3 linked regions of the Nothobranchius furzeri genome follow. The protein of the gene in region 3 purifies or fractionates together with the protein of the main gene of each other region. This does not show direct contact. Links are inferred from orthologs where the notes say so. Each region holds a gene or a part of one and is shown on either strand. Other genes may lie near its edges. The genes, in order: ift74, ift88 and ift81.

Region 1 (3,463 bases), on a different chromosome or scaffold from region 3:
ATTATTAAACCACTTTAGATAGAACATTCATTGTAGAGAACACAGCAAACAACCTGTAGATTGAAATAAATAATTTTATGAGACCAAAACAATAATAATTTTATAATGCTTTGTAGGTGGTTACTAAAATTGTCAATAGAATTCAATAAAACATAATATTCCATAAAAATATGGATTATCAATATTACTGAACCTTTAACATTAGATACTTTGGTGAATCCAGGGAGACAACACTTTATAATAATTAGACTCAGAGACAAATATATATTTAATAAAAATCTATTTGTGACTATATCAATGATGATGAAAGGCTAATGATTATGAATGATGACACAGTGATGTTAAATGAGACAATGAATGAACTCTGATGAAACATGACCTGGTGTGTTCAAGAGTTTTCTACGCGACTCAGAAAGGTGTGATGTCTGGTTTATTAAATAATCTGGACGGTTGTTGGATGTCATTTAACAAGTTATCAGATGAATATAAACCACTCTGACACCATTCAAAAATGTGAAGAATCAGAAGGTTTTAATGGTGTTCAGGAGCATCATACGAGATCTGCTGGATTGCTCTGGACCAGCATCCAGTAAAGCAAACACCCAGAACCGATCTGAGATGAAGCAAAGAGCTCGTTAAAGACCATCTGGAAAAGAAAATCCTGTCCCAACTTCACAGTTACCCTAAAGGTCGTCTACTTTAACAGCCAGACTCTCATCCTTAGAATGATTTAGGTGTTCTCCAGTAGCACAAAAATGCTCAAATGTTTATGGGTTAACTCAAAGTTGTGATTTTAGAGGAAAACAAATTCTTAGGCAGGTATTGGTATGAGTCTAGGCATCCATCAGGCTCTTGTTGTACTCTGCCACCAGCTGGTAGACGTTGTTGGTAATGGAGGCGTACTCACACTGCTGAGTCTTGGATGCAATGACTGATGCAGCAGTAAAGGAATTCACCGCGTTCTGCTTTCATTTGCCCCAGTCTTCACTCAGATTTACTAACAACATCCCTAAAGCTCTGAAACTGGAAAAGGGTTCCCTCTCTCACACAAGAATGTGCACTGCAAGTAAAACATCTAAGTAGAATTGTGGATTCTGAAGGATACACTCTTTCATGACATAATTGTTCTGCTCCAAATGCTGCCATTTCCTTTCCAGGTTTGCCAGCTAAAACACAAACACACAAACATCCATGGTGGTTCTGTTCTCTAACTTTGACATTTGGGAATTTGGAATTAGATGGCTCCAACCTGAGTATGAGTCTCATTTTCTTGAAGTTTGGTCTTCTGAGCTTCATATTTCTGGTTCATCTCCTCCAGCAGCTGCATGAATGAATCTCGACGCTGCGCCAGAGATGTCTGGCTCTCCAGTAGTCTCTGTCCCAAAGACGACTTGAGTCAGTGAGCAGATAAAATAAAACGTGTTTGTGTCAGCAACACAGGTGTCGATACCTTTCTCTTTTCCTCGGCTGTGTGTCTCAGAGTATTCAGGTCTCTGAAGGTGTCCAGCTCAGACTTCATGTTGCTGAGCTGCTCCTTTAAGGTGCTGAGCTCACTTTTGATCTTCGCCTCCAGCTGCTGGACCTTCTCCAGGTCCTGGTGCAGACGCAGCGACTCTGGGCGGTGGAGAACAAAGTCAAATTAGCCTGGCATCATTCTGCTTCTGCTACGCTCGGCCTACATTTGGAGGCTAACATTTTATGATATTACGTGTGTGTCAGACCTATTGTGAGTCCTTTGGCAGTGCTCTCTGACTGGACTACCTCGGTCTCCTTGTTGAACAGTACCTCCTGCATGTTCCTCAGCTCACTAGCAGTCATTGTATCCACCTGACGTAGCCGCAGCATGTTCTATAACACACACACACACACACACACACACACACACACACACACACACACACACACACACACACACACACACACACACACACACACACACACACACACACACACACACACACACACACACACACACATACACACACACTTCTTTATATCCCTCCCCTCCTCCACCCCACCCAAACCAAACCAAACCTCACCCTGCTACAGAGCTCCAGGACTGAGACGATGTTCTCTTGACTCTGGGTCAGCTTCTCCAGCTCATCAGCCTCCAACTGCTTGTAAGAATCCAGTAATTCTAAGACAGGAGGAACAACTCAATTCCATGGGCACACAGGAGCACTCTCGGGCATTTTATGGGCAGTCTAAGGCCTAGTCCACACGTAGCCAGGTTTTTTAAAAACGAATATCCACCCCTCCAAAAACTTGCATCCACACCACCTCGTTTTAAAACAAAACTCTGTCCACACGTACCCGGATAAATACGTTGTTAAGGACATGCCAGACCTGTAGGTGGCAGTACTTCCCCCGTTCTTAACCTCTTCCTTCGTCTGTGGTCTTCCGCAAGCAGCAGTAATTCCGCTTGCAAAAACAAACAAGCAAAAAGCGCTTGGACAATTGATAAAGCGAGCGCAGCTCTGAGGGCATCCATGTTGTCGGCTAGTGTAAACACAGGTCGCACACGTGATGTCAGCATTTTTTTTGTCGCGGAAAGTGACGTTGCGGACCTTAAAACTCCGGGTTTGTCCGTCCACACGCAGACACCCAAAACGGAGAAAACGCAGATCTTCACTTTGGCCGGAGTTTTAAAAAAGATCCGTTTTCGTGTGAAAAAACTCAGTTTTCGTGTGGATGACAGGCCAAAACGTAGAAAAATATCTACGTTTTGGCAGATCCCTGGCTACGTGTGGACAGGGCCTGTGTACATTATTCATGCTGTCTAATCAGCCCCTTGGTATGCCACACCTGTGAGGTGGGATGTATTATGTTGGTAAAGGAAAAGTGCTCTCTAAGACACAAGTAAACAGATTTCAGAACAATATTTAAGAGTCATGGGTCTTTTGTGGATGTAGAAAAATTTTTATAGATGTTTGAGTTCAGCTCATGAAAAATGGGAGCAAAAACTAAAGTGTTGCGTCTATACTTTGGGTGATTCAGGTGGTTTCCATTTCTTCTGATCATCCTTGAGATAGTCCCTTCATTGGAGCCCAGTTGTGTTTGATTATACTGATTGGACTTGATTAAGAAAGCAACACAATACAATATATACGACCAATTTCACTTGTAGCAAGACACAGATGTGGCCAAGGTTACAAAAAAAAAATCTCTGTTGCACTCAAGTGTCCTAAGAGCACAGTGGCCTCCATAATCCTTAAAGGAAAGACGTTTGAGATGACCAGATCCCTTCCTAGAGCAGGCTGTCCGGCCAAACTGAGTTACTGGGGAAGAAGAGCCTTGGTGAGAGAGGTAAAAATAACCCAAAGAACACCAGGCTGAGCCCCAGAGATGCAGTCAGGAGACGGATGAAAGTCAGGGCTTTATGGCAGAGTGTTCCGTCGGAAGCCTCTACTCAGTGCAAAACACACGAAAGCCATTTTGGCTAAAAGACATCTGAAGGACCTTG
Region 2 (3,653 bases), on a different chromosome or scaffold from region 3:
CTGCAGTATCCTCTTCATTGTATCATTTAAGACGTTTGACCAAAGTGAAGCCATTTTTATCCAGACGGGACCTTGAGACTGTTCCTGCTTTTATTACCTCACGCCTCGACTACTGGTGTCAGTAAGGGCACCGTAGCTGGACTGCAGCTTGTCCAAAATGCTGCACCAAGACTCTTGGACGGCAAAAGAAAGCATGAACACGTGACACCAACCCTGGCTACTCTCCATTGGTTACCTGTAGGTTTTAGAATTTCTTTTAATCTTGTCTAAGGCTCTGAACGGATCGGCTCCAGCTTGTTACAGACATTTGCTCCGGCTCAAACACTCCGTTGTGAGAACAGCTGCTGCTTGTGGCTCCCACGGCTCGGCTGAAGTCAAGAGGTGATGGGCGTTCTCCGTTGCTGGCCCAAAACAGTAGAACGCACTGCCCCCAACTGTTAGGATCTCTCCATCAGCAGCAGTTTTTAAAACAAGGCTGAAAACCAACTTCTACGATCTGGCTTTGACTTGGGTGGGCTAGCTGTTGTGGATGTTTGACATGTTCTTATCTTGTAAGTTGAACTCGTTGGTTTTAATCGTGTCTGCTGAATTAGTATGTTTTATTCTTTTGCTGTACAGCACCTTGGTGGCACGCTTGTGCCGGTGAGGTGCTTTTTAAATAAAGGCTGAGTTGATTCACTGCATGAAAAGTGCTTGTTGAATAAAGTTGGATTTCATTTGATTTAAAGGTCAGACAATAATCAACACGTATCATATCACGCAACAGTCAAAAATACTTTTTGGGTTAATCCTCATGTAAGTCATCTTCTTTACGGTGAATGAATGAGTGTTTGCCCAAGCCGCTTGTCTTCCTCATTAAGAAACAGTGAGCAGGCACAGCTCTGCTGTCAGTTGTTTAAATCAACAACATTTCTAGATGACATTTTGCCACAAGGCTGTAAAAACAAGCAATCTAGCTGTAGAATTTGAACGTCCACCTGTTCTCGGATCTCCTTCATCTTCTCTGCCTTCTTCAGCTTAGTGGCATATTCCTGGACCTCCTTTAGACCCATGTCTGTGGACAGCCTCACCAGGAAACACAGACCTAAAAACACACAGGCTTACTCAGATTCATGGATACAAGTAACTGGTAGCTGCTGGTCACTAGTCCGAAATAAAGGTGCAGTGTGAGATGGTGAATGGAGATGCGTTTCTGGAGCATTTTGGTTTTGCCGTATAGGGGGTCCAGCGACATGAGCAGTGATACTTTTCCTTTGCATTCAGACTAAAACATCAACTTAGGTTTGGTCTGACCAGAGCACTTTATTCTACGTTTGCTGATCCCTACATACCAGACGTTTTAGGTCTTCCTACCAACAAAGGCATTCTTCTTACCATTCTTCTACATGGGCCATATTTATGGAGGAAACAACCTAGTTGTCTTGTGGACAGACTGTCCCGCCTGAGCTGTGGATTTCTGCAGCTCCTCCAGTAGGGCTGACTGGTTAGCGTGCGTGACTTTCACCCGGGAGTCTGGGGATCGAATCCTGATCGGATCTTTTTTTTTATATCCGCCACAGATCTCTCTGAAGAACTCAGCATTGACGGCTTCAGCAACGCTGTGCCACTCCGTGGATTTTCCCTTATTGTTTTGCAAAAGCACTTCCTTTCATTTCTCCACCTCACCCACAGGTACCTCAACTTCTGCTTCGGTGAAATAGCGCTTCCTTGATCTGCCTTGATCTACGGTCGTGATCGAAATGCTGCAACAAGCCGGCTTATGTATATGCATGAGGTCCACAAGGCACTTTGCATTGACTATTTATGGCAGTAAGTGGGCGTGGCGAGGGCGGGATGTGACGAAAAAGCAGCTGAGAACCTTTCTAGGTAGTTTCTGATTTATGAAGCGGAGATTGCGTGCAGCTGTGCGTACTCCATGTTTGATAGATCACACACCTGCTTGGTGTAAGTACTTTTTGTTTTTTGCTGAGTTTAAGTACGGTTTTAGTAAGGATTCTACGCCATGTTTGATAAATGAGACCCCCTGGTTCTGGTCTATAGGGCCTTACATGGACAAGCACCATCTTACATTGGTGATCTTCTTAGTCCCTACACCCCCAGCAGGTCCCTGAGGTCCAGTGATCGAAGCCTACTGGTTGTGCAGCACCAGGCTAAAGGTCAAAGGTGACAGATCATCTGCTGCTGTGGCCCCCAGACTCTGGACCTCTCTCCCCCTGAGCCTGAGATCAGTGGACTCAGTGGTCTCCTTTAAAAAGCAGCTGAAGACTCACTTGTTCAAGCTGGCTTTTGTATGACCTTCTTCACCTCTCTCTCTTTATTCTGCTCTCCCCACCTATTCCACCTTCCTCAGGATCCACTGGTTTCCCTCTTTCCTGTTCACTCTCTCGCTTTCTTAACTTTTTTAATCACAATTGTCTATTTTTGCCCATTTTAAATATATTTAAATCATTTTCTAAATTATTTTTTATATCTGACATTTTTGTTTTTGTGACGCGCCTTCTGGTTTTTATCTTATGTTTGTGTATTTAGCAGACGCTTTTGTCCAAAGCGACTCACAAGTGATCTTGAAAAACGATCTTTTCTTCGTCTTCTTTAAAACCTTTAAGTTTGTGGTTGTAAGGTGTCAAAATGTGTAAAAGTTAAAGGGCTATGACTTCTCTGTGAACAAATCACACAATCTTGGCTCAGAGCAGTTAAACAGCAAGCAAAACCAAAGCAAGGCCCTCTGATGGAACACAACTCTGCTTGTGTTTGCAAATTTTATGTAAGAAGTTGCTTAACATGTTCTGTTCAGTGGGAGGAGGTCCGGTTCGGGGTAGGCTCCGAAGGTTTGCTGTATGTGAACGGCGTCTGTTCACTGTCGGCTGTGGCACGAGTGTGTGTGTGTGTGAGTGTGTGTGTGTGTGTGAGTGTGTGTGTGTGTGTGTGTGTGTGAGTGTGTGTGTGTGTGCGTGTGTGTTTGTATCACAAAGAAAAGAACGGTGTCTGTTGAGGTTCTGGAAGGTTGTTGGTGACAGTGAGTGTGATGATTCTGAAGACAGGAATAAACCAGAAAACCTGAAAGCTTCGTTCTTCATCAATTTAGTACGCTAGCTAATAACATATTAGCTAGCGTACTAAATTGTTTTATGGTTACTTAGGAGTGTTACGTTTGGAAATATAGCAGAAAAGTAACAAACAACGTGTAAATTGGTCAAAAGCATAAGACAACACTATATTTTATGGTCCACAGTATCTGTTGTGTGGTGTTATAACGTTTTCTGTGACATCTGTTGCTTGAAAAAGGGGACTGAACCTTTCAATTGTATTTTTCTAAATGCAGTTTGCCTGAACGTCTTTTTTCAAGAACATCAAAGATACATTACAATCCACATTTTCTGGAAACTTGCGATGGATCTCTTTGTAGGTTTCTAGAGCTTTCTGGTAGTTTCCTGCAACAAAATAAAGAGGGCAAGAACTTTACCGACTTATGACACTTCACATTGTAAATGAGCTAACAGGAAACAAGATTCATGCTCACCGCTCTTTCTGTAACAGCTCGCTTCCATTAGCTGCCATTTCACCTGGGTGGGTCTAAAAGACATGGAGAGAAGAGACAGTCAACCATAACATTAAAACCGCTTTACACAACCACACCTGCTTCATTTGGACCT
Region 3 (3,653 bases):
GAAAACGACGCAGTTGGAAAAGCAGTTTGAGAGAGAGAGAGAGGCGTTGCTCTGCCTCTGGATCTAAATGAATGAATCCAAAAACCACAGACCCGACCTTCCTTCCTCCTTTCGCTGAATGCCTTTTTTATTTTTTAAGTTGACCAGTTTTGTGTGAAGTCTCAGACGACAAGTGAGACGAGTTACCAGCTTCTCTTGGACAGCCTCGTGTCTCTTCTTGAGAACCTCCTCAGTCCGCTGCAGGACTCCGTACTCTGCTTTCAGCTCGGCCATCTCCTGGTGTTTTTTCGTGTACAAGGTTTTCTTGCTGCGTAACTTGGCTGCCAAATGTTTCAGCTACAAAATAATAATAAAGAAAAGAAACTTAAACAAACACAGCTGCATCAGCAGAAAACACCATTAACCAGCTCTGCAGGTTTATTATATTCATGGAAGCAGCTTTAGCCGTGAGAGCTGAACGGTTACAGCCTGTTTGGAAAATTCTGTGAACAGTACAGAGTCTAAATGTGACTGCTTGGTGTCCAGCACAGCTGAGCTTCTCTGAAAGGCCCTGGAAGAAGACAATGGACTGGGGGGGGGGACATCAGAGGGGCCTGGGGGGTCATGGCACGATCACTCTATCCTTTTAAGTTTCACAGTCAGTAATGACGAGTGAGCAGCTTGATCAGTCCCACCGTGAGGTCTGCCGGGACACGCTGAAGCTCCTCCACAACGGGAGTGGCTATAAATGAGCACGGACACGGGAGGACGGCCCCAGAAAGCACAGAATGTGCTCCGTGTCCTGTGGGGATCCACCAAGTCTGCTGTGTGTGTGCACATTTATTCTTTGTGTATTTTGGGACATCAAGGGCAGACGTGGTGGGGAGAGGAATTAACAAGTGCAGTAACACTGCATTGTGTTCCTGACAGCGTGTCCCTGAAACAACTGCCGTGGGACGGGGCCGCCGCTCAGTTGTTGGTCGTAAAACAGAATCCACACGTTTACCGTCAGACGGACCTCGCTTCACCACAAAAATAATCCTCCGATTTCAGCGTCTTGACTAAAACCAGGTGCTGAGGCAGGGTGATGAAAGGGGTGTGATGTGGGGCCAGCCGCAGATGAACAGACGTAGTCACGCCCCCCCAGCAGCTGGTTGGTGGCGTGTGATGACACACAGCCGTCAGAATGGAAAATACCTCTGATAAAGCGATCACCTCCACCGTGGCTGATGGGCCAAGACTACACAGGAGTCGAACAGAACATTTTCCACCAACATCGTTCATGTGAGGTCTCAAGGGCCTCTTTGTCTCTACAAACAACACCCACTCAGCAGCCTTAAAGGGTCTGAACCTCCTTTTTACAAACTCTGACACATGAACACACACCAGCAGATTACTGCAAGCTCTTAACACACAAAACTGTATTTTCAGCTTCTGTCACATTGATTTTCCTTCCTTCTGTTTTTCCTCAAGAGACTAAACGTGTTAGAAATATCTTTTCACTAATATTTGACGGTTTCTTTAGTTCGCCAGCTGGAATTGTTTGTTTGGGCAAAGGTCTGCTCCTCTTTAGTGTTGTGTGCTAACATCGCAGGCATCTCTTCTCTCGTGTGCTTCAGCGTGTTCCAGAAAGCACGGCTCTGAGCCCACAGATACACGAATGCGTCAAACGTATAACAGCTGTGATTCGCAGGGTTCGTGTGGTGACAGCACCACCCCCGTTCATCAGAGTTCCTTCACTAACACGGATTTTTTTTACGGTCAGCTCTTCTACTGTGAGCCAACAAACTGCTAAGCCTCGTCTCCGTCGTGTCCCAGAAGGACGAGCACATCCTCGTTTAAAGTTCCTGTCCTCCAGGTCTGCTTAAAATGTCCCGCTGAGTCCAATTAGAAGATTTATTGGAGTGAAGATGAAGGAAAAGGCAGGAAGTTTGTCCAGAGCAGTTCCTTGTTCTGGACTGTTTCTCTTTGTGATCTATTTCTGGCCTACATGAGAAGGTGGGTGGGTGGGTGGGTGGGTGGGTGGGGGGTAAAGTTGGACAGTGAGACGGTCTGCGTTTGGATAAGAACAGAAATAACCCGTGGGGTTTTCGGTGCTTTACTAATCTTCTAGGATGAAGTTAAAGTTTGTGGGAGACGCTTTTAGGGGTATGAACGTGACGACCGACAGAGCCGTTCACCTCGTCTTCGCGGATGACCTCCTCCCCAGAGGAGCCTTGAGCCTGGCCGCTTCTACGCTTCAGCTCCCTCTCTGCAGCGGCGAGCACCTCCCTGGCCTCCTGCAGCTCCTTTGCCTTTGACTCTTTCTTTCGAGTGATAATCAGCGCCTACAGAACAAGTGAACACAAACACCAGAGACAATTTTACAGAGCAACTAATGTTTCAGCCTTAAGAAACTTTAGTTTTGAAAAAGGTAAGAAAGACTGGAACAAATGTTAGAAGGATGTGATGTTTTTAACTGTGCAGCTGAAACGACAGAGGATGAATATATTTGAGTATTTCTAAACAGATCTGAGGTATCAGCAGTTTTAGGAGGATCAGGTATGATGAAACGATCACATGACAGCAGTCAGAACCTGCTGCTTGAAGGGAACCAGTTGATCTATGGGGTCGTTCTTCATCATCTTCTTCTCAATCAGCTGGTTTATCTGAGTGTTCACTTCTTTGATCTGTAGGAGTGGACATTAAAGCACAATCAGAACCAAGGGCACAGGAAGAGTAACCCATGAACCCAGATGCAGGTCTGGACCTTGTCTTCTAGCTCCTGGATATCAGCTTGGTCCATTGCAGGCTCTGAAGCCACTTTCTGGAGGTACTGCACCGTGCGCCTCATGCCCTCCAGCTCTTTGGGGAGTTTCTCAGACACCATGTAGGAGTTGATCTGGATCTCCTCTTCAAGTCTCTTCATTAGGCCTGAAAGACACAAACCTTCTCAACAACAGATTTTCTCTGATTACTCTGGAGACTAACTGAAGTATTCATTAATGTGCCAGGCTACTAAAAACATAATAGACTAAATCTCTAGTATCTTGTGAAACTTGAAGGAATGTTCGGTTTCTGGAACCGCACACGCAGCACTTGTACTAAATGACAGGCGTTAACGTGCAGGCCCGTTTCAATGGGAACAGACCAGTTCAACATCAGAAATGGTCTGTAAAATAATCAAAATGTCCTTCAGCCTAGGCCGTGGTTTTGAACCTCCCACTCAGCTGCGGTCTGCAGAAGACTCACTCTCTGGGTTGGTGTTAGCTGCTGCCTGTCGCATGTCCTTCAGCTGCTGCTGCGACCTCACCAGTCTCTGCTCCACCTGGAAAAGCTGAACACACAAAAACAATTACTAGAAAACTTAGCTCGTCATTATTTAGATCTTGCCTCCAGTTTGCTAGATTAATAGGTCCACATTTAAGTCTAGAAGATGAGAGAGTGTGTGTGTGTGTGTGTGTGTGTGCGTGTGTGTGTGTGTGTGTGTGTGTGTGTGTGTGTGTGTGTGTGTGTGTGCGTGTGTGTGTGTGTGTGTGTCAATCTGGAGCAGTTTGTTTCTGCATGAAGACACCATAAATTCTAATGTAAGGATTGTTTTTTCTTTGCAGACTAAGCCATCAAAAGCACATACTTGACGCTTTTGTTCTTGCTTTTGGTGCCTCAGTGACTCCTCTCGCTCCTTCTCCACTCGC

Evidence for each region.
Region 1: the proteins of ift81 (region 3) and ift74 purify together in Homo sapiens (affinity purification with mass spectrometry; 3 studies listed by BioGRID and IntAct, counting the BioPlex papers as one, with this or other methods). This does not show direct contact. The link is inferred for Nothobranchius furzeri from reciprocal best matches to the Homo sapiens genes IFT81 and IFT74.
Region 2: the proteins of ift81 (region 3) and ift88 fractionate together in Homo sapiens (co-fractionation; 3 studies listed by BioGRID and IntAct, with this or other methods). This does not show direct contact. The link is inferred for Nothobranchius furzeri from reciprocal best matches to the Homo sapiens genes IFT81 and IFT88.

Annotation. Positions count from the first base shown.
Region 1 is NC_091747.1:28,197,722-28,201,184, reverse strand, and holds the end of ift74 (intraflagellar transport protein 74 homolog), read right to left. Parts: intron 2,138-3,463; coding exon 2,040-2,137; intron 1,849-2,039; coding exon 1,722-1,848; intron 1,615-1,721; coding exon 1,451-1,614; intron 1,376-1,450; coding exon 1,250-1,375; intron 1,167-1,249; coding exon 1,106-1,166; intron 932-1,105; coding exon 834-931; 3' UTR 513-833; downstream 1-512. UniProt on the Homo sapiens protein: Component of the intraflagellar transport (IFT) complex B: together with IFT81, forms a tubulin-binding module that specifically mediates transport of tubulin within the cilium. Binds beta-tubulin via its basic region. Required for ciliogenesis.
Region 2 is NC_091742.1:29,234,541-29,238,193, reverse strand, and holds part of ift88 (intraflagellar transport protein 88 homolog), read right to left. Parts: intron 3,574-3,653; coding exon 3,521-3,573; intron 3,432-3,520; coding exon 3,366-3,431; intron 1,085-3,365; coding exon 978-1,084; intron 1-977. UniProt on the Homo sapiens protein: Positively regulates primary cilium biogenesis. Also involved in autophagy since it is required for trafficking of ATG16L and the expansion of the autophagic compartment.
Region 3 is NC_091757.1:28,290,838-28,294,490, reverse strand, and holds part of ift81 (intraflagellar transport protein 81 homolog), read right to left. Parts: coding exon 3,593-3,653; intron 3,296-3,592; coding exon 3,211-3,295; intron 2,893-3,210; coding exon 2,729-2,892; intron 2,649-2,728; coding exon 2,556-2,648; intron 2,307-2,555; coding exon 2,160-2,306; intron 337-2,159; coding exon 187-336; intron 1-186. UniProt on the Homo sapiens protein: Component of the intraflagellar transport (IFT) complex B: together with IFT74, forms a tubulin-binding module that specifically mediates transport of tubulin within the cilium. Binds tubulin via its CH (calponin-homology)-like region.